Rhinolophus ferrumequinum: one gene and its partner. The protein of the gene in region 1 interacts with the protein of each later gene in a biochemical or structural test. Links are inferred from orthologs where the notes say so. Each region holds a gene or a part of one and is shown on either strand. Other genes may lie near its edges.

Region 1 (11,532 bases):
TTTCAGTTCTCTGAAAGCAGAGCGGAATGGCTGGGTCCCAGGGCACCTCGAAGTTCGGGTTTTGAGGGATCGTCACTCTGTTTCGCCAACAGCTTCCCCATCATACATGCCCACTGGCCGTAGCCGGTCATAAGGATCCGATGTTTCCACGTCCTCGCTGCTTGTCTGTATTGACGAAAAATCACATCTCACCTCCTTTCAGATTGCCTTGGATTACTTAAATTTTATAGAAGTACTCTCAATAATTTTAAATCTTCCTGAAATTGATACAGCTATCATCTTCCTTTATTTCTATTAAGGTCAGCCTATTTATTTAACTAGATGTCAAGTGTCATTTTGTCATTTTGATACTCAGATTTATAGAAGAGACCAGTACACATAATTCCTGCACGTTCCTCAGCCGACCCCCCAGGTGTTAACATCCCACCAGATCTTTTTTATTGTTTTTTTCTGAATGGATTGAGAGTAATCACAGCATGATGCCACTTACCCCTAAACCCCTCCACGGGTATTTCTGTAAAAGCAAGGACAACGTCTTACCTAATCAGACACGGACACTGACGCAATCCCACTGTCCTGCCTTATGCAGGGTTAGCCAACTGTCCTTGTCACCTGTGCTATGAGTACTTGTCTAGCCCACCTGAAAAAGGAGAGCCTGGTCCCGCTCATGGACCCGTCCTAGACGGGCAGAGCTTTAGTCTCTGCGTGTCATGACCTTGGCGCTTCTGAAGGTCAATTCCATTGGGAATTACGTCACTATGATTAGACCAGAGTTAGGTATTCTTGGCAAGTATACAGCAGTTGGCATGTTTCCGTCTCCGTCCGTCCCACAGGGTCCTCGATGGCTGTCGGTCTGTCTCGCAACTGGCCACGTGACTTGGCTCACTTCAGGTTTCTCTACTGTAAAGTGGCTGTTCTCCCCTTCGTAACCCATAATATCTTGGGGGAGAAACTTGGAGACAAGTGAGTATCTGTTTTGCCCGTGAGTTTTAGCGTCCTGTGGTAGTAATTATTGTGGATTCCGTGGTGAGTGTTCACACTTCCCTCAATCCTTCAACAGTAATTAGAATTATCTTCTAGGAACGAGCCATCCCTTGCGCACCGCTTATCCAGCCAGTTATGTCAGTGTGGACTCGTGGCTATTTGACTCTGAATCAGAATCGGGTAACTGATTTTGTTGCTCAGACTATTTTAGGTTTGGCCGTTGGGAACTTTGAGGGTCCCTCCTGTGCCCTTTTGACATGCCGGTCCTTTTGAAAGCATTTCCTGACTCTCTGGTGCCAGGAGAGGCTCCAAGCTCACCTATTCCCCAGCTCCTTTCATGGGCACTGGTGTGCTGGGTGTGCTCACTGTCACCGGGCCCCTGGGGACAGAGCTAGGAAATGCACACACTAGCTCCTGTGCACCCATCTGCGTTCATTTCTGTACCTCTCAGGCTGAAGAGACGCATGAAAAAACCGTGAGTTCACTGCGGTCTCACTCCAAGCCCGCAACCCAGTCATTCTCTCCTCCCCTTATTTGTAACTTTTCTCTCTGGCAGTGTTCTCACTGCTCCCATCACCTACACGATGTTTGCCTACACGTCGGCTATCGTTTAGGTGTCCACCTCACCTAGTCTCAGAACCACTGACCCATCCCCCGCGGGAGACCTCTCCGACCAGGGCACAGCATTGGGTTCAGTTATTTCTGTGTCGGGCCATGGAGTCCCGGGGTCGTGCTGGTGCCCAAAATGTGAGTCCCTTTCTCTCTTCCACCCGCTTCACTGTTAGTTGTGTCATTTGTACCATACTGAGTTCATCCTTACCGGTTATATTTCATGGTGGCTTCCCCAACATACCCTGCTGGGGTTTTTTGTTGTTATTTTTTATTGTTTTTTAATTTGCATATATTAGTTATTATGGAATTACATATGGTTGTGTAATTTTCATAAATGTTTATATGATTTACATTAATTAACTGTTATTATTAATGAGTCACCCTGGGATTAACTGACTATTTGGGTGAAATTAGCAATAAAAAATGCATCATTAAAGATTTTAATGTAAAAATAAAACCAGGAGGTAATCTCATTAATTTTCAATATATCAATGTGTCTGTGGTCACCTACCCTAGACAGTTAGTTTGTATGTTACGTATGCAGGTTGTAGAAACAAATTATAAAATGTTTTAGCACATTCATTAATTGTAAAATAACATCTATATGTAAAAATTAATTTGAGCATCCCACTTTCTTAGATGTACAATCCATCATAAACAAGCCACTCAAGTCACCAGCAGTTATTTCAGAGACAACCTTTCTTTGTCCTCGTTGAGGGGTTGAGGGTGGGGACTCCTTGGGCACGAAATGATTCATTCTGAAAATTGGCAAATGAAAGGAACAAACATATAATCTGTTTTGTTTTCTATACAAACTGTATTTCGAAGGGATTAAATCATTGATGGGGAGAGCTTTTTAAAAAAGAATTCCAGCTAAGCAGTGCTGGCATATTAGGAAATGAGCACTTTGCGATGCCTGATGAAATACGCCTGCTGAGAATAATGCTGAGGGTGGCACAGCAGGCCAACCTGCCATCCGGAGCTCATGGCACCTCTGAAAATTGACCTGGGGCTTGTCCAGCCTGAGACGTAGGACAGCACACCGGGAGGGCGGAGGCAGGCCAGTAATCCGGAAGTGCCAGTAAGGGAAGTCTCAACCACAGGTGTCCCAGTTTCCTCCGCACCTGAGGGCACAAGCACAGAAAACTGACTGTGGCACAATCAAGGTAGATTGGGCCTTTGTCCCCATTCCTAGCCCAGAGTTCCAGCCCTCGGAATGTCCTGACAGGAGTGGCTTTTGTTATTTGTAACCAGTCCCTTTCAACCACAAGCAGTTTATGGTAATGAGATGATGACTCTGGGTGGTGTCAAGATGGATGCTGGTCACCAGAAAGACTAGGCATCATTAGAGGGTTGGCACTCTCAACCTGGTCCCCTGACCTCTCAGAGGGGACAGAGCTGTAGGTTGAGTTAATCACCAACGACGATTTCATCAGTCTTGCCTCTTAATGAAGCCTCCATGAAAGCCCCTAAACAGTGGGGTTTGAAGAGGTTCCAGGTGGTGAACAGGGGTAAGTGCTGGGAGGGTGGAGCTCCCCGGAGTCCCCCCCCCACGCACCCCTACCCTGCGCATTTCTTGCTGGTCCTGAGTTGCGTCCTTTATAATAAACCGGCGATCACAGGTGAAGAGCTTTTCTGAGTTCTGTGAATTGTTCTAGCGCATTTTTTAACTTAAGGGGGTGATCGTGGGGACCCTCAAATTTGTTTATCCAAAAAAAAGAATCCTTTTCCTTAGGAATAAACACACACTGAAATCCACATGGTGGAAACCACGTGTGAGATTTGCTTCAAGCTGTGTGTGGGGAGGAAGAGGGACAGGTCAAACGGGACTGGCTGCCAGGGAAAGCCACTGAAGCCACGTGGAAGGTCCATCAGGGTTCATGACACCACGCTTTCTACTTTGGTGTGCGGTGGGCCACCTCCTGGCACTCACACCTTGCAGTCCCATACTTCGCTGGGCCAGGACAGATCTGCGTGCCAGTATAGTAGGGCAGAGTGATGGCATGACACTTCTGAGATGACATCGTAAGAAACGCAGCGGCTTCATCTGACTGCTTGCTGCCCCCTTCTCTGTTCTGTCTGCCTCTGCCTGTCCATCTGTCTGTCTCTGAGGCCTCACTTGGAGGAAGCCACCTGCCCTGTGTGATCAGCTCTACGGAGGGGCCGGGACGGGAGCTATAGGTCGCAGGGAACTAAATCCTCAGGCCATCAGCCCACGGGTGTGGAACTGAGGGCCCAAGCACGTGCGTGAACTTGGAATTCCAGCAGGTCTTGGAGACCGTGGCCCTCCTGCACAACAGCTTCATCACAGCCTCCTGAGAGACCTGGAGCCAGAACCATGAACCGCACTGCTACGCTGCTTCCCGATCCTCAGAAACCATGGGAAATAATAAGGGTTGGGTGTTTTGAGCTGCTAAATTCCAGGCTATATTTTACACAGCAAGAGATTACTAATACACATATGTTTAAATTTTCTATAACAGAGTTTGGGTTTTCTTTTCAAGGTACATGGGTCATCTGAAAGCAGATTTGTCCTCGAGCCATGACTCAGGTGGCTGTGCAGCGGGACGGTCCCCAGTAAGTTGCCTCAGAAGCAACACACTGAACACCAATTAGGATGCTCTGCCTTTGGCCAAACTTTCTGCCTATAAAGTTGATAGTGCAACTTTCAGTTACAGAAAAATTGCAAATACACCTCAAAAAGGGAGAGAGATCTTTCCAAAACATACTGAGCTCAGTATTACGCATTGTTCTATCACCCCAAATGCCCTCCTGCAAACGGTGCAGAGGTGTGTGTGCGATGACTTCTGTCAGCCTGGGTTCCCTGCCAGGCAGTGTAGACCAGACAGAAGGGCCCTACCGTCCTGGAGTTGAACCATCATTGAAGGAGGCATGAGTCCATTGTCACGTGATTACAATTTTACAAGTGCCGGGGGGTGAAGGTGGGGTGGCACACCCCCCAGGTGGGGCATTTAGGGGTTTGGACCCCACACGGAGGAGTGCCGGGCGAGGCTTTGGGTACTGCAGGCTCTGCGAAACAGCCCACATTTTATGGGGCCCCTGGTGCTACAGAATGTTGTTTGGTGTGTGGACCAAGGTCTGAAATCCATACAACTAGAGCACACAAATGGAGACACTGGGGTCTGTGGTAAAGAGCCGACTGAAGTAACTGTGTCATCTGTGCCAGCAGCTTCCGAAGTCATGAGAGGCGAGGAGTTCCTCAGTGACCAGCTCCCCTGAAGTATTGCTCACAAGGTAGCCAAGTGTGCTGGGCCCAAAAATACTCCTTCAGTCTGGAGGGGAACATACAGGCACAGGACAGTGGCCAGACCCCTCTCCAGGAGGGCAGTGCTGGGCCCAAGCGTGCCCTGGACACTGAACCTTGTTCATCGCAGGGGATGGCAGGGCAGAGGGTCACGTGCACAGCCTTGGACAGGCTGCGAAGTGAGGAGTGAGTGAAGAAAAGATGACTCAAAATGGAGTTCCTATAGTCAAGCCAACAAAACTGGTTCAGTGCAAATGGGCTGAGCGTGAGGAATGGGTTTTATTTCACCAGCCTGAGTGAGCACTTCAACTGTGGAACTTCCCAGTTGTGCGTGGATGCCTGGAAATACGTATATATCCTACAGCCAGCCTCTGAAGGGCTTGGAAAAGTGTTCCCAGGTCCGAACCACCGACATCTGGAAGATTGTAATCTCAGGCCAATCCAGCACCACTAGAATGCTTGACGGATTTTTTTTTTTTTTTTTTAAAGATTTTATTGGGGAAGGGGAACGGCCTTTATTATTGGGGAACAGTGTGCACTTTTTTTCCCCAAGTCAAGTTGTTATCCTTTCAGTCTTAGTTGTGGAGGGCGCAGCTCAGCTCCAGGTCCAGTTGCTAGTTGCAGGGGGCGCAGCCCACCATCCCTTGGGGGACTCGAGGAGTTGAACTGGCAACCCTGTGGTTGAGAGCCCACTGGCCCATGTGGGAATCAAACCGGCAGCCTTCGGAGTTTGGAGCACGGAGCTCCAACCGCCTGAGCCACTGGGCCCGCCCTGGACCGATTCTTACAGCCTGCTTTTTCCTATGAGAACTCTTAGCTTTTCTTCTTCTGAACCCTCTGGGTATTGCCTGGGTTTCCGCTTTGCAAACCCTTGGCCAGGTGAAATCAATTTTTACCTTTTATTTCTAGCCAAAGCCTCCCAACTGTCTGTGCTGGGTGCACAAGACACCAGGAGATGCCCACCCCCGGGACTTGGACAGGACGGGAACCCACAGAGCGTCCTGTGAGTGGTTGGTGTGAACTCGACGGAACATCCAGTGTTCACTTCCAGGAGGGTGAGGCAATGGCGAGGACCGACGGGCTGGCTCACTTGGGAGAGCGGCCGGAGCGGACCCCGGGTGTAGCGACCACCGGGCTGTGAGACCAGGCCAGCGCTGGCTGCCAGAGCAGGGCCCGCTGGGCCCGGACGTGGGCTGCGCGCCTGCAGAGGGACAGTCCCGCGCGTTACAGATGGCGGCAGAAACGCACGACGTCCAGGTGGGGTCCACGCAAGACGGTGACACTGCCCCGTCCCCGTCTGAGTTCGCGGGCTGAGCCGTGGGGACGCCCGAGCTGAAAAATGCCCGCAGCAAGGGGCGCAGAAGCACCAACCAGACCAGCCTTCGCGGGCAAACCGGCCTCGCGAGCCGCCTACGCGGGACGCGCCCACGAGATTGGCCCCGCAAGATGGCGGCCGCGCGCTCCCGGCAGACCCCTCGCCCGCGCATGCGCCCTCCGTCGGCCCGCCCGGCCTGAGCGGAAATCGCGTGACCCCGGAAGTGGCCGGCAGGGCGCGCGCGGGCGGGGCGCCGACGTTCGTCATTTTGTGCGGGAGGGAGCGCGAGCGCGGCGCGGTCGAGCCTCCGGTGAGCGCCAGGGGCGGCGGCGGAGGCGGCGAAAGCGGCGGAGCTGGGAGGGGGCGGGGGCCGAGTCTTTGTCCGCCCCTCCCGCCGGGGGGATCTGCGTGGGGCGGGGGCGGGGGCAACAGTGACAGCGGGCGGCGGCCGGGGCGCAGGGCGGGTCCCCGGGCGCACGGGCGTCCACGTGCGGGCGGGGGGCGCAGGCCTCTTTGTGGCCGCCGTTCGTGCGCGGCGCCCCCTCGCCGGTGCGCGCCGGGTGCACCAGGCCTGACGCCCCTCCCCTGGGGAAGGCGCGCCCTGCCCCCGGCCGTCTCCGAGCTTCCCACCCGACCCCACCCCACCCCACCCCACCCCACCCCACCCCTCGGCCAGCCCTGATTGCGGGTCCTGCGGCCGTGCGGGCGCCGGCAGTGCGCTTGGAGGATCCTGTCGCCTGCGTCCGCACTTGCTGGCGTTAGGGCGTGAGCTTTCTAGAGGAATTCCAGAGGAAGCGCCTGGGAGGCCTGGAGGGACTGGCGGCCCCACCCCGCCTGGGGCGGCCGGCCCGCTCAGAGCGGCCCTTTGTGGGATCTGGTACTCGGGCAGACCCCGGCTGCCAGGCGTTGTTTCTCATCCCGTGGCAACTTGAGGTCCGGGGTCAGCTGGCCCTGACCCACCTCCCACACAACGAGAGGGGTCTGCGGGGGTTTCAGACACACCGTCCGGGATGCTAGGGGGTGCTGTAAGGATCCTTAGCCTCCTGTACTGTTCTGCGCCTGCTCCAACAGTGTTGCTCCAGGCTCTTCTAGCCGTTGCTTCACGAAGAGGGTCTTGAGAATACCCAGGAGCTGCAGCAGCTCCCAACTCTAGGTCACAAACCATCACAGCGGGAGAGAATGTGGGCAAACACTTAAAGTTCCCCATGCGCTTTTGGGACCTACCTGCGGGATTCAGGCTGGGCCAGTTATTTGAGCTCTAGGAGAGCCCTGTGTTTGCAGGGCGAGGCAGAACTGACCTGTGTTGTGGATAGAGGTCTTGCATTCTGGCCAGGACGGGGCCAACGGGTGTCCCTGGTCAGAGCAGCTCCCTGAACCAGCAGGAGGGGTACCTTGGGGTGAGGACCTGGGCACTTCAGAGCAGCAGAACTCTAGGTGACTAAGTCGGGTTCTGCCAGTCCAGGCTGGGGTTGGTGCCACCCCCTGGGGATGCCTAGTCCCTTGAGACGGGCAAGGCAAGTTAGTGAGGCCCCTCTTGGCCCCAGGAGCCTGTGTCTAGGCCCTTTGCAAAGGTCTGGCTGCAGCTGCCCTCCCGCTCCAGAAGTTGCATCACCCCTTGGCTGCAGCTACAGGGTCTGGCCACCTGCAAAGATGCCTTCAACACAGCCCCCTGCTGCCAGGGAGCGGGAGGGGGAGACACTGGGTCCCTGCAGGCTGCCACAGCCCCTTCCGCCCCCCTGCAGGTGTTCCGGACCCAGCTAGAGGTGAGCATGGCAGAGCAGGAGCCCACAGCTGAGCAGCTGGCGCAGATTGCGGCCGAGAACGAGGAGGACGAGCACTCAGTGAACTACAAGCCCCCGGCTCAGAAGAGCATCCAGGAGATCCAGGAGCTGGACAAAGACGACGAGAGCCTGCGCAAGTACAAGGAGGCCCTGCTGGGCCGCGTGGCCGTCTCAGCTGGTGAGTGGCTGGACGGCACTGAGACTGAGGGGACACCTGTGACTCTTCTGAGTTCCCCGTGCGGCTCCCTACCCCAGGCAGGAAGTTGTGTGCTTGAGGTGGGACGCCAAGGGGTGGAGCTCTAACCTGCTGTCACTCCACAGACCCCAATGTCCCCAACGTTGTTGTGACCCGCCTGACCCTGGTGTGTAGCACTGCCCCAGGCCCCCTGGAGCTGGACCTGACAGGTGAGTGGCGCCTCTGAGGTCCCTGGCTGAGGCTGTGTTGGACACCTTGTTGCTTCCTCTAAAAATGGTTTCCTGGAGACCGTGCGCCCTCTCGTGGGGAGCACAGGAAGGGCCGCCCAGTGGTCAAGGCTCTGGCTGTGGGGGGGGGCAGGGGGGATGCAGTCCCAGTGGAGTTGCCCAGGTGCGGCTTCCCCTGGCTGAGCCTCCTAGCGCAGTGTTCTCCTGAACACAGGCGACCTGGAGAGCTTCAAGAAGCAGTCATTTGTGCTGAAGGAGGGAGTGGAATACCGGATAAAGATCTCTTTCCGGGTAAGGTGGGGGCCCTGGGAGGGAGGCGCTGGGGGGGCCGGGGCTGGAGAGCCCAGCTGAGTTCCGCGTGGGGTCCTTCCCGGCAGGTGAACCGGGAGATCGTGTCCGGCATGAAGTACATCCAGCACACATACCGGAAAGGCGTCAAGAGTGAGTGAGGGTGGGCGCCAGGCCCTGGCCCCCAGGAGGGAGGTGGCCCCGGGGCCAGGATCGGGAGGGAGGAGGAAAGGCTCCCTGACGCCGCCTCCCTGCCCTGCAGTTGACAAGACCGACTACATGGTGGGGAGCTACGGGCCCCGGGCGGAGGAGTACGAGTTCCTGACCCCCATGGAGGAGGCGCCCAAGGGCATGCTGGCACGGGGCAGCTACAACATCAAGTCCCGCTTCACAGACGACGACAAAACTGACCACCTGTCCTGGGAGTGGAACCTCACCATCAAAAAGGAGTGGAAGGACTGAGCCCGGCCTGGGAGGCGGGCAGGGCGATGGACGGAGGGATGTATGCGCCCCACCCCACCCCACCCCACCCGACCCCATACCAAAGTGCTGACAGGGCCCCTGCCCACGCTGCCATCTCCCCTGGTTTGCCTCCTGGCCCGCCCGGCCCTCCCCAGCCCACAGGCCCCAGCCTCCCGGTGATCTAGTGTTGTTGCTGCTTCATCCTGTGCTGTGGGGGAGGGAAGCTGCAGCCCAGGCCTCCGCCTCCCCCTTGGTTCCTCCAGGTTCCCCCTGCTCTAAGCCAACTTGAGTCCCTGGCTTTTCCAAGGGAGTGGGGCATTGAATGGGGTCTCGGGGTGCTCAGGTCCCCCAGGGCCTTTTCGGTTGCCCTGACTCTGCTCATCTCCCCCTATGGGGTGGGGGTGGGGTGCACGATGCAGGGCCTAGGGGCAGGTCATCTCCAGCCGTCACCCTCCCTGGTCAGTTCCTCTGTCGCTGTCACTGTCTAACCATGATGCCTTAACATGCGGAACGTGTGTTCTGGGGCCGTCACTAACCTCTGACCCTGTGTCCGCATGAGCATGTGGTCTCCCCAGCCCCCGCCCCACCCGCAGTCCCTGGGGCCCAGGGCAGTGGGACGCTGCTGCTGCTGCTGCTGCTGCTGCTGCTGCTTCCCGGCCTGCCAGGGCCTGGCCAGCCCCTCCCCCCCAAGCCAGGGCTGTGGGGACAGCTCCAGGGGCTTGGAGAAAGCCAAATTGCCAAAACTCCAGTCCTATCTGCGAGGCTGGGAGTCCTCACGCCTCGCCTTGTCTGTCATCTGTCCCAGCGGGCAACACCCAGACCCAGCGCCCAAGGCCCCCCCAGAGCCCTCGGCAGACAAAGCCAGCGGCCGAGCCTTACTTGGCCCACCTGGGCCTGCCAGCCTGGAGTGGCACGCCTGGCCTGTCAGTATTTATTGCCTCCACATGTGCCGTCCTCTGGGCCTGCCACCTCTGCCCCCAGGCTCGGTGCCACCATCCCCGGCAGGCCCTCCCCAGACCCAGCCAGGACAACTGTGGGACCAAGTGTGCACAGCCGGAGCCGACCCCTGTGCCTCCCCTCCTTCCCCCTCCCTGGTCAGGCCCTGGGCTGGACCGCACAGGAACCTGTCCCTGCTTCTCCTTTTCTGACCAGGAAATAAACTTCCCTGAAGGAGCCTGGGTGTCTGCTGCTTGTCTCAGTGGGGGAGGAAGGCTGGGCCCATTCCTCTGCTGCCCCTAGGTGCCAGGTGTGATGCCCATGGTCCTGCAACTGTTGAACAGATTTAAAACCCTGGCCCAGCCTGTGTGGCCAGTGTTGGCCTGTGCAGACCTCGGACGTCCCAAAGGACCCTCGGTTGGTGTCCAGCTCTCTGCAGTGCGCCCCCTGGCGTCTGCCTGCTCTGTCCCCACGTGGCCACTGTCCAGCCTCGAGGAAATGCCCCAACTCCAAAGAAGGAACCTTGAGCTCTGCCAAAGGCGTTACATGGGAAACCAAAAAAAGGACAGAGACGTCCCGTAGACAATGTCCCCAGGCTGTGGGTCCACTGGGTGTGTGGGTGAGCCTGAGGCGGGGTACCGGCGTGCAGGGGAAGGCTAGGCCAATGGAGAGGGTGGCAGGAAAGGCAGGCAAAGCTCCAGCATCCAGCAGGGCCAGGTAGGGCCAGTGGTCCAAAGGTGGAACCAGCAAGGTGGGGCAGAGGGGAGGTGCCAGAGTCCAGAGGAGCCCTCAAGGGCAGCTAGGGGCCAGGCGCACTTGACTGCCAGTCCCTCTGACCAGCAGGGTCTCTGCAAGGCCTCAGGCTGCCCGGGAGAGCACTGCTTCCTCTCAGCACCTCCCTCCAAGGCGCCCAGTAAATGCGCCCCGTCCCAGCCCTGCAGCCCTGGGATGGGGAAGGGCACGTGGATAACCCGAGCTCTAGGTCAGTTCCAGAAAACCCTGTTTCTGGACTGACGTGGGTTTTGAAACGTGTCCTCTGTGGTCTGAGCCCCTTAAAGTGGTTATGTATCATTTAGGCATTGGGGGCAGGACACTGCTGTCTAGGAGCCCCCACCCCCCCCAGACTGTATCAGTGGAGGCGTGCATTGTGCCCAGTGCTTATCCGCAGGGTGTGCCTGCCATCTGGGGTGGACCAGGAGATGCCCTCTTGCCCCCCAGGGCAGTGATCACTTGTCCATGTCAAGACAGCTCCTACAGGGCTGGTCACCCCCTCAATCCTCCAATCAGGACCCTGGGGCATCCTGGAGGCTGGGCCTGTGCTGGATGACAGGATGATGGCCCAGACACACATCCAAGAGAGCCTGGGAAACAGCCTGGGCTCCCAGCTCCCCACTGCACTGGGGCAAAGACCCTACCCGGCCTCCCCCAGAACCAGCTGTCCCACACTGAGAACGACGGCTTGGGCA
Region 2 (12,001 bases), on another chromosome or scaffold:
TGCCAAAGTAATAAGGCTAGTTAACAAAGCCAGAGGTCCTCCTATATCCTCGTTCTGAGCTCTTTTGGTTATCTCTGCCTTTTCTGACATCGGTCTAGATAAGCTTATTCCAACCAACTACTAGAGCTTTTCAAGAAGTTAAAGCTCTTTCCTCTGTTGTTTTCAAGTCAAAATACTACCTCTAAAGATGTACATTAATACTGGTATAATCACCTCTGTAAATGGATTTCCTATAAGGGTGACATGCACATCTAAATGAGATATGAAGTACTTGCTAATGTAGGAATTGATTTTTGTTGAAGGATATTTTCAAGGAAATAAAATATTCAACATTTTGAGCAAAAATATACATGTCAGTGAAAATACAAAGCAATTGCTAGAACTTAAATATAAAGCAGGAACTTCATATTTTTAAAAAATTTTACATTGAATTTACACTCTATTCTAAAAGAATTTTATAAATTTAAAAGAAACAACCGTATCTGTATTGTTCCCAAGGTGGGTAGAAAAACAAATACACTACCATTTGCAGTGATTGATTTTAAATGCTAAAAGGTAAGAAAGCTAAATCCAGTCCAATTTCTTCATTTTACATTTATGGAAATAAAGAATTCACTAACAAATGTTTAAAACGGAAAAACAAAGATAGGTTCAATGCCGTTGCACTGAATATTAACTCCAGTTTATATACACAAGAACACTTAACACACTCTGATGTATTATACAATATGGTACAACTATATTCCCATTAAGTGTGACCTCCTCAGTATCTTACACATCAAATACAAAAAGAATTTGGCATATGATTATGTCTGAATGTAGAAAGAAACCTTAAAACAGGGGTTGCGAAACTTCCTGTAAAGGACCAGATAAGTAAACTTGAGGTTTTGTGGGTGTTATGGTCTCTGTTGCAATTACTCTGCTGTTGTAGCATGAAAGTTGTCATAGATAATATGTAAACAAGCTATGATGTGTTCAAATAAAACATGATTTACAAAAACAAGCAGGAGGCTGGATTTGGCTCATGGGTCAGTTTGTCAACCCTTGCCCTAAGTATCTTAAGCAGGAAATCAACACTGTTCATTCCATAATTTAAACAAATTTCGTACCCATTAAGATATGAACTCACATCTTCCTGCTATACTATGTATGACAGATCAATGTCAGGTCTGATTTTGGGTGGGTAAGAAAGAACCCAAGACATCTGGTATATGAATAAGGAAAATAATCTAATGGGAATGAAGTTAGAAGAAAGGGCAATTCCATTATCCTTGCCAGTGACTGGCTAGGTATGGAATGTGTTCCAATCTTGGCCAACAAGACTACGATATCTGCAGGGGGGGATTCTGGAAAAGAGACAATCCTTCTCATTCCTTTGGATATTATTATGTCTGATGGGATGCTAGTCCTGCTATAGCCAAAACTGGGACCACGGGAAAGCAGTCTTATTATGAAACTAATGGTAAGACCACAGGGCAGAGAACTGGAAACAGAATAAGTCCTTGATGTGATCATTGAGTTATTCTTGAGCCTCTGCACTTTATTATATAAGATAATAAATTTCCTCATTATTGAAGCCAGTTTCAGAATTTTCTGTTATTGTAGCCAAAGCATCTTAAATGATATAAGGGCTTGAAACTGAAGATTGCTCATTTCACAACTGCACCTGCAGCCAGTCCTCTTAATTTCAACTTTTCACGAATAAAAGAAACATTTAAGGTCCTGAAAGCCCATAGATACTACCTACAACTCAGAAAAAAATATCTGTATCAGTTACTGATACAGATAACTCATAACTTTATAAATTCTATGATGGTGGAGAAAAAACAATGCGATACCTCCTTCTTTGATACTGTATCTAAAACATTCTTTCAACAGGATATTTTTTTCTCTAAACCAAGGGTTGGCAAACTTTTTCTGTAAAGGGCCAGATAGTATGTACTTTAGGTGTTGCAAAAAGTACAGGCTCTGCCACAATAGCTCTTTTAAAAGCAAGCCAATATGTAAACAAATGGGCATCCCTGCATTCCAATAAACCTTTATTTACAAAAACTTGCAAACAGGCTGGATTTGGCCTTGCAGATCAGTTTTGTGGACCTCTTCTCTAAATGATTAACAGTAAAGAGAGTATCTTTCTCAAACAAATCAACTTTACTAGAACTTATAAGTAGTTTATTTAAAATGTATATAAATTATGTAGAAAAGTAACAAGCATTTCTTGAGCATTCTATTCATAGGGTTACATCACTTGATGTAAAAAGTCTTGTTACCTTTATTTATATATAACTTCCATAAAATGTTATTTAGAATTCTACTATTAAAATGTAAAGTATATTACAATAGAAAATATAAAACTTACTCATATATAAATTTATATCTACCGAAGAAATAAAAGTATTTAAAATTAGTGAATTTGCAAGGATTGACTACTCAAAGAAAAAAAAAATCCATATATCTAACCTGAATGAACCCCCTCTTCCAGAAAGCTAAAACGAGAGTTCACAATGGAATGAATAAAGAAGTGAATTGTATGGACCATATTTCCTGTCCAAACAGTTACCCATTACAAAGATACACATACTATATGGACATTTCACTATCCCAAATCATAAACCCTTTATCAAAGCACACCATTTTCACTATGATTTATATACCATATTCTAGGAAGAAAAAATGAACCTCGCCTTCAACCATGAGCAAAGAAAATTTGCACACGTACATAAACACACTTGAGAATTATTAAATTCCACTGTGTTATTTCACTCAAATGATGAAAATCTGAGAAACATCAAGTAATGTGATTAACACAATAATAAAACACCCTTTCAATGTCTGCTACAAAATGACCTTATTTTAAACACTTTAAAATCACAATAAGATAAAAAGTATATGTTTATCCTTTCATAAATATTGACATTTCCTATACACAAGAATTGCTAATTGTAATTACCTATGAAAAACAGGACTGGGAAAAGAGGATGGGAGGTTCCAGGAAGTGAGGAGGACTTTGACCCTTTTCCTTTATATCTTTCCGGGTTTTTTCACTTTCTCCTAAAATGTATTATTTTTTAGTCTTTAAATATGGTTTAAAATACATGTTCAATATAAATTAATATTGAAAAATATACCAAGAACTAAAATGAATAGGAAAGGCAGGATTTCTCTGAAAGAGGCTAGAAATTGAGGAGCTCTCAGGGGTCAGAATAGGGCCACTTGTACCACAGTAAGAGGTGAGCAATATACTGGCTACAGAAGCCAGGGAAGTTCCGCAAGAGCCTTTAGCCCACAGTAACACTCTGGGGTTTAAAATAACCTTGTAAGGAAGGGTGGAGTCTACAGCAAACTCAATCCAGTTCACTGATCCAGTACCCCAAGTATCAGGGTAGGTAAGAAGTGCCCACTAGTTCCTGGTCCACAGGAGGTCCAAGACATCCAACAAAGGGTGACTTCCTTGACTTGCCAGAGTCACAGCAGTAAGCGTAAAATTCTATTAGCTATACCCAATCAGGTATGCTCCACCAGCATAATTCAGGCTTTAAAACCTTAATAGAACGTGTTTTTTTAGGCTTTGGTTTTTGGGAGATATTGGTTTAAAATTGCCATTTTTAATGGCATAAGTTAAAAATGCAGTAAGTTAAAAATGGATGAAAAAACTAGACTCCCACTATCATCCAACATTTCAGATTCTATTAGACTATGCATAGTAGATTAAAAGATTGAGACTGAAATGGAAACATAAAGACTTGAACAGCCTGCAGAAGATAAAAATGAATAATAAAATCCAATTCTGCTCTGCGAATGATGAAGCAATAAACAATCCTTGTTCCCCCTCCCTGAGACTACTGCAAGTTAATGAGAAAGAACAGCAGTCTGTCATTTCTTACCACAAGAAAAACAGTGAATTTGTGATTTCCTATTAAGTAATAACAAGGTCCAAAACAAAGGGCAGACGCACATACTTTCCCCACACCTAAATTAATTACATTTATTCTACAAATATTTCTGAGCCCTCCTAGTGCTCTTTCATGTGTGGGAATAAAGGAGTTAAACAAAACAGTGTATAATCCACAAGGGCAAGAATTTAATAATTTCTAAATGTCATAATCAAATTGGTCTAACTTAAATAAAACTGTAAAGAATTCCAATTTACATCTATGTATTCCTTACTAGTAATATACTGTTTACTAAATTCCATCCTATATAAAAGTGATTAAACCAAGAAACAAAGTCAGTGAAATCCTTTTTACAGCATACTATTAACTTCAAAGAAGTGTTACCTTGTCATATTTAAGGTAAGTTATTATTAGTCTCTCTGAAGGAAGATAAAGCACACTCGTGAAAGCAATGGAATTCTAAAAATAAAAGAAAAATGCAAGTCTGAATATTAGTCTTTCTTCTCAAATCTACTAATGTTGTTTTGGCAATTGGATTAAGCCATTATTTATCCAGCAAAATGAACAGGGCAATTGTTCATTCAGACCTCCGTCAGAAATATAAGAGTATTTAGTGTTCTAAAAAAAATTCGCTCTGCAAACAAACAGATTGTAACGTCTACGTCCAGTACCCGTTTATCAAATAAATCCTTATTATCTTAGGCTTTTGCATTTACATACCACTCTTAGTGCCAAAGATTCATTAAAATGCCTTTCACAAAATTTCAACTGTATTTTAAATACATCTTGGTGAAGCTGACTTTACATTTCCAACCTCAAGATAAAAAAACCCCACAAATATTGGTGATGGTTAAAGAACCATGACCTATTCTGTATAGGTGATGTGCTCTTTTTAAACTGAATTAGTGTTGTGCGCCCCCGCCACACGCCCCCTTCAGAGTTAGTCCGGGAATTAAGTTTAGGGCCCTTCAAAGGAAAGGGGGACGTAATGTACCCAACTTTTCTAGTGGGGTCTAAGATACTAAATCGGATAGCCTCAAGGGCCCGAAAAGTTAGGCTCCAAAGCCGCCGCCGCCGCCAGCGCCAGCAGCAGCAGCAGCAGCAGCAGGTAGAGCCGGGCGGCCAGGAACCGCGGCCCGAGCTCGGCTCGCGGGTGCCAGGAGTAGCTCCGCGCCCCAAACCCCGTAATGCAACATCCCTGTGCCACTAGGGCAGAACGCTCGCTCTCTAGTAATTCAACACCCTTACTTTCAAACTGGAGGCTGAGCAAGTTCTAATAAATTCCTAATCTACAATGCAAATTATAATTCTACCTACGCTTAATATCTGTATTTTCAAACTACCCTGAAGCAACGCGCAAGGCCGAACCCGCGGCCGCGCCCAGGCGGCGGGAACGCGACAGTCCCCCGGGGCGGGGAGATGGGTGGGGGGGTCCCGGGCCGACACCTCAGGAGGACCCCACGCCCGCCGGGAGGAGAATCGCTCCGCGGCATATTCGGGCCTCAGCCGGGTCACGACTCGGTTTGGGCCTGGAGGCTCCCGCCGGCCCGGGGGAGCGGCCGGGCCGTGAGGGCCGTGAGGGTGGCGGCGCCGCGGCCTGCGGGGCGCGAACACCAGCGCGTGGAGGCCCTAGCAGCGCGGCCGCCGGGCAGCGCGGGGCCCCGCAACTTCTCGCGGCCACCTCAGCGTCTCCGATAGAGCCGGGAGAGGGAATGGGGGAAGGGAGAGCGCCGGCGGCTTACCCCAACGGCTAGCGGGTCCTCCCGCCCGGAGTGTGGCTGGGGCGCTGTGCGGCGCCGCCGGGCGGCGCGGCTGCGAGGGAGAGGCGACAGTGGGAGCGCGGGGCCGCTAGAGAGGAGAGGCGCCGCCGCCACCGCAGACAGCTCCGCAATATGGCCGCCCGGCGGCTCCTCGGGGGAGAGGCGGGGCTGCCCTGCGCCCCCCGCCTCCCCTGCCGGCCAGCCGGCCTCGCGCGGCCGCCGGAGAGCCAACGCTGCCGCCGCCACAGCCGCTCGCGCCCCGCCCCGCCCCTCGGGCTCTCCGTCGCCGGCCGCGTGGGGCGTCGCTGGGGGTCGCCGTCCGGGTCCCCGCAGCGCGAGGAATGGGCTGCGGGCGCCGGAGCCCCGAAGGAACTGAGGCGAGTGCGTGGAAGGGGGAGTCCTTCCAGGGAGAACTGGGCTTGATGAAGCGGGCTAGGGGAAGCGCAGCCGCCCAACCCCAAGTCCGGAGTGCGCCCGCCGCCTCCCCGGCGAGTGGAAACTTGAAACTCCCGCTGGTGCCAGAAAACACATCGCCCCCAAGGAGGAATTCTTCCCAGAGGGAATCCAGAACCAAAGCGACCGTGTTACTTGGCTGTTCAGCTTGAAAATCTTGCATCAGGAGAGAGAAGGGGGTTTATCTCAGAGGAATTCATATTTGCAACGAAGAACGTTTAAATTATTTTGGCAGGTTTTACCCAACTAGAAAAACTTGCTTTTTCAGGGGCAATTTTTTTTAGACTTCTGCAAAACCTGGATGGATATGGCCCCAATCGAGAGTGCAGATTTTTATTCAGGCAAAGATATTTGATCATTTTTTAATTATCACCGACATTCTTGGTCAGTTAGAAGGAGTCGATTAAAAAGAAAAAGTTGCAACCAATCCTAAATATTCTAAATTTAGAGAAAGTTAGACATTTGATTATAGTCTAACTCTAGCCTACTCACTTTAGTGCTGGGACTAGATAGACTTCTGGCCAGTATTGTGTCATCTATACCATGCTCCCTCTCCTCGGTATTTTCTGCTGGGATTTACAGAGCAAAACTTGGTATGAGTATGCAAACAGCAAGTGCATAAAATTAGATTAGCCGAGCTTGCCCTGTTTGCAATGCTCAATATAGTTTACCTTTTATAAACAAACTTTGGTTCAAATAAAACCTCGCGAGTGTACTTAACTTTTAAGGAACAATAATTTCTATCCTTCCTTCCTTGGCATTTGCCTTCCTCGAGACCGTAGCATTTTCGGGAATTCTCCCCAGGTCACTTTCACTAGGCTTGCTCTTCAGTGAACTTCCATCATTGCCTTTTGAGACCTCTATGAGCAATTAAAAGCCCCAAAAGTGAAATTCAAAAGCCTTTAGATTGCAAGTTCCCCAAGGATGGAAACTAGGTGTGTGCTTTTTTTTTTTTTTAACTAAAAGATTACTCCCTGACCTCCCTGGGGTGGAAGAATTATCCAGGTAATTGTACAGCCTTCCACATCAAGTTGCGTGTATAAAGACAGTCAAAGTATTTTGTAAATTCCTAGCTAGTACACTAATTAAACAAAAATATATGTTAATAACATACTTTTGCAAGGGGAAATGAAGGATTCACTGTTGTTTGTCGTCCTTTTACACGACTATCTCTTTTAATAATTACAACAAACCTGTGCTTGGTGCAAATATTATTATGACCTAAAAAAACACAAAACACAACAATGAGTGAAGAGAACCTCAAAGGAGTTAAGTAATTTGCTCAGTGTAACACAGCTGGGAAGTGGCAGCGCTACAACCAAATCCAGTTGTATTTGACTCCAGAGCCTTGATTTTTATTCCATACTGTGCAACAGCAAACAGAACAAAAATTGTAACATTTTAGTTGGCTATCATATTAATAAATATTTAAGTAAAAAATAATATTCGAGGACGATGAGATAAAAGAGTACTTGCAGGCATTTTGAGTGGGAGTGTAAACTGAAACAACCTGTTTTAAAAAACCTGTGATTCAACCAATAAAAATGTTCTTACTCTTGGAACCCGTTATCCTTTATCTGGGATTCTTTCTGAATGAAATAATCTGAAACAGCAAAAGCTTTCTTCATAAACTCTACATCACAGTATTATTTATAGGATGCAAAAATAAAAATATGGAAACTCAATGTCTTTATGTCTATCCTGTAGCATTTTAGGTAACAATTGTAAATGTATCATGGCAAGTGTTTTCTTATAGTATTAAGTGGAAAAATAAATTATGAAACTATCCAGTGCAGTATGATTACATCTATGTTTTTTTTTTTTTTTTAAAAAAAAAAACACCTATGAGGTGCTAGGAAAAAGAAAAGATTGGAACCCAGATTTGTCTCTGAATAGTGTTTCTGTGGGCATTTTTTCCTTTATTCTGTTCTTCAGTATTTTCTATATTTTGTGGTGTAAAAAAATAAAATAAAACTATTTATTTAAGTTGAGTTTTACTACAATATGGGTTGTCAATTACAAAACCAAGCAAAGCCACTGTTTCCTAAGCGTGAGGCTCTTCTGTGAAGAATATCATGAACTGAGTTGACAGAATTTTATAGTTAGAGGGGCAGATTTACTATTGATTGTAAATGTAATCTAAACACACCATTATTTGATCTTGTTCCTTACATCAAATATATGTACCTTTAAATAAAATTAGACACTTAATTGAAAATTTTCTGTCTTGGTTTAATTCCAACATTTTAGATTTCTACTGGGGAAAAAAAAAATCGCATACATTTGCTGAAACTACTGTTTTTCAGAAAAAAAACTGATGATATCAGTAGTTACAAAAAAAAATTTATATATAGCACATAATATACATTAAAAAGAAAGTCCAAAACCAATCTATTATAGTCTGTTACGAAGTCTTCTATGCTACAATCTTACTCTACTCCACCATAATAGGATGGCTAATTCTGAATTCTAGAATTCCAGTGATTGTTACAAAGCATTTGTCTCACTAGTACATGTAAAAGATTTTCTTGAAAATGAAAATTCATTTTTGCAATTATGGTTTATAAATGGAAGTTTTCCCATCTAGGAAAAACATTGAATTCCAACCCTTTGCTAGTTTGAATAATACTTGGTCCCTGCCCTCTAAATTCAGTAATGAGAAAAGCAAACAATGCTGTGCAATATGAGCTGTAATACAGATAGACATGGTGTCGATGCAGACAGAAAAGAAGGCAATTAACTCTGCCTAGAAAAGAAAAGGCCACAGAGGAGGGGAGAGTAAAGAGATGGGGGTGGGGGGTAAGGGGTGGGAGCAGCCAGGGAAAAGGCAATCAGCTTTGAAGACCAAGTAGCAACATGGGGTTGACGTTTAGACAGGTGTTTAAAACCAGAGGTTTCAGAAAGGTAAATTGAGATCTGTTTGGGAAGTTCAGAATTTGCCCTCCCTCCATGAGGAGAAATAGGAATCCAGAAGAAGTGTTAAGAAGAGGAATAATATGATTTATGTTAGTAACTGGTAACCATGTGGATTGCTTGGGACAGAGGTTCAGTGACAGTGAAAGTGGATGGTGAGATCATCAGGATTCCTTGGATAGACTTTTGCTATAAAGCCCAGGCACTAGAGTGAGGGACTGAATTTGGGAGTTTATATGGATGAAGAAAAGGAAATACATAGAATCTTTAAAAAGCTTTGAGGAGTAAGACAAAAGATGTGAAAATGATTTTAGGGTTTCCAACGAGTACCATCGAGATAAATGAGTATAAAAGAAATAGAACTGAGAGACCAAGAGAATTAGGCAGGTTAGGAAGATACTAACTTTTAAATGTCTACGGGCAATCTAGGAACAAATGTGTATTCAGTAACTGGAAATATATAGACTGTAAGAACTATGGCAAGTGAGACATCCAATAAATAATTGTTAAATAAATGAATATACAGAGATAACATGATAAAATAGGCCTTTCATTTCCAACTATTTCTTTGGAAAATATAGTTTTGTTTAAGCCAAGGATTTTACTATTGTGTTAGATATTAATCTGAAGCCTCATAATATACTAAAATATTTTTCCTTTAAAAATTTTGATTTACTATTTTTAAAAGCTTTAAGAATGAAAAATCACAACTATTTTTAAAACTTTTACATTGAAAGAAATGCAAAAGAGAAATTTCTATTATAAACAATGATATATCATACTATTCACACTATCTTGCATATTTAAGTACATATTCACAATTTGTTCTCCAATATAAAAGCCCTTAGTAAAAATAAACAAGTAAAACTATCTTATCATTTGCTTTGTATGCCTAGTAAGCCATACAAATGTAATTGCTGATATAAGCTATAAAATTTCAGTACAGTCAATAGAGGTTTGATGGCTAATGTACCTAAACTAAAAGTCAAGGAACCGCGGATCAATTTCTACCTTTATTCTCTCCCTATATAAGATCAAATTACATAAGTACACAATTCGTAATGTGTTCACAGATATGAGCATTTTATTCTCCAACAAAGACAAGGTAAAAGTTATTACCCAATCCTCTCTTGTTTATATAATAAAACCAATTTAGTTTGTGATAAACAGCAATAAAATTTCAGAGGTAAAATTTCAGAGGTAATAAACAGAGTGGAAAGAGTCTAAATGAGGGAATCTATAACTGGCTTTATTCCCAATTTCTACAAACAAGTTGCTTAAGTGACCTTGAAAGATCCAATGAACTAGTGTGTAACTTACTTGCAAACAATGTTAAAAGAGGCAGTACATTACACCTATTCTGCCTTTTCCAGAGATTGTTTTCAGACATCATAGATTTTCAGGACTAGAAGAGGACCTCAAAGAGCATTAAATCCCCTCTCCAAGAGTATTGTGAAACGGCCATCCCATCAACAGTGGCTTTCTGCCACTAACTGTCTGAGAGCTCTAGAAAAATCTTTTTTTTTTTTAATGGATTCAGTTTTCTCATCTATTAAGAGAACTGGATTAGACAGACGATCGGTAAACTTTCTTCAAGCTCTAAAATACTTCAACTCTGACTCCAATTCACATATAAAATATTTTATTCATATACATAACAATGTGCAATTTCTAGAATTCAGTATGTATTTTATAACATGCAGAAAGCATGTATGTATAGATAATCACTTACCATGATATTTCATAATTTTTAACCCAAATATCCACTCATTTATGACTCAATAATACAAAGATATAAATACTCGTGTATATATAAATGATAAATACTCACCCTGGACTTTAGTGCTGAGCATCCTAGGCAGCTGTTTTCTAATTTATAACACGTTAGTTTTATTTTAATTTAGTTGAGTCTATACAACAGTGTTATTTACTATAGAGGAATGGTGCCCAGCACTTCATGAAATGTCAAATGTAGAGGATGTAAACTTTACTGTGGCAATTTTAAACTATATCCACAATTTATTTGATACTCCTTCCTATAAGAGATGGAATTCCCCTCCCGGGAGTGTGGGCTGGACAGAGTAACATGTTTCTAACAAATAGAATAAAGTTGAACTGATGTTATGTGACTTCTGAGACCAGATCATAAAAGGCACAGCCCCTTTCTCCTTGTTGATTCTCTCTGGGATCACATGCTTTGGGGCAAGCCAGATGCCATGTCATGAGGACACTCAAGCAGCCTATGGAGAGGCCCATATAGTGAGTAATGGAGGCCTATTGCCGGAAGCTAGTGAGGACCTGAGGCCTTCAGCTAACCGCCATGTGAGTGAGCCACTGTGGAAGCAGATGAACCTTCCAGCTGCAGTCAAGCCTTCAGGTGACTGTAGCCCTGCCAGCATCCTGAATGCCATCACCTGAGAGACCCTGAGCCAGAACCACCCAGTTAAGCTGCTCCTGAATCCCTTATCCACAGAAACTGTAAGATAATAAATATTTGTTGTTTTAAGTCACAAAGGTTTGGGGTAACTTTTTATGTAACAATTGATAACTAATGCATTAATCTATAGAGAATTTCTATTCTAATTAAGCTACTCCTTATTTTCAAAAATGATTGAATTATATATGCAAACATGCGATTTTAGAACTGGACAAGACTTCAAAGAAAATGTTGCCTCTTATTTTCCTGAAACAGAATTAAGATCTGCAGTCTGTCTTGCTCCAATTTGGTATGCTTCCATTGTTCCTATCTCAGCTAGAAACGTAGGAGCCATTCTTAACACTTCGCTTTCCTTCACCTTCTTCCTATCCAGCCTATTACTTAATCCTATTACTTTTACCTCCTCTTGCTTCTCTCCACTTTTTTATATCATACCATTCACAGCCAGGCAGGTCAGAGCAGTTATCTCTTCTAGACTCCAAGCAATAGCCTCCTAGCCAGCCATCTCATGTGAGTTTCTGACCCCTAAAATCAGTTCTCATCAC

Evidence for each region.
Region 2: the proteins of ARHGDIA (region 1) and RDX form a complex in vitro, tested with the Homo sapiens proteins (2 studies listed by BioGRID and IntAct). The link is inferred for Rhinolophus ferrumequinum from reciprocal best matches to the Homo sapiens genes ARHGDIA and RDX.

Annotation. Positions count from the first base shown.
Region 1 is NC_046304.1:54,655,566-54,667,097, reverse strand, and holds ARHGDIA (rho GDP-dissociation inhibitor 1), read left to right. Parts: upstream 1-6,364; 5' UTR 6,365-6,486; intron 6,487-7,918; 5' UTR 7,919-7,945; coding exon 7,946-8,135; intron 8,136-8,278; coding exon 8,279-8,362; intron 8,363-8,594; coding exon 8,595-8,671; intron 8,672-8,757; coding exon 8,758-8,821; intron 8,822-8,930; coding exon 8,931-9,130; 3' UTR 9,131-10,303; downstream 10,304-11,532. UniProt on the Homo sapiens protein: Controls Rho proteins homeostasis. Regulates the GDP/GTP exchange reaction of the Rho proteins by inhibiting the dissociation of GDP from them, and the subsequent binding of GTP to them.
Region 2 is NC_046294.1:78,764,576-78,776,576, forward strand, and holds the start of RDX (radixin), read right to left. Parts: upstream 5,785-12,001; 5' UTR 5,636-5,784; intron 4,332-5,635; exon of another isoform or gene 4,278-4,331; intron 1-4,277. UniProt on the Homo sapiens protein: Probably plays a crucial role in the binding of the barbed end of actin filaments to the plasma membrane.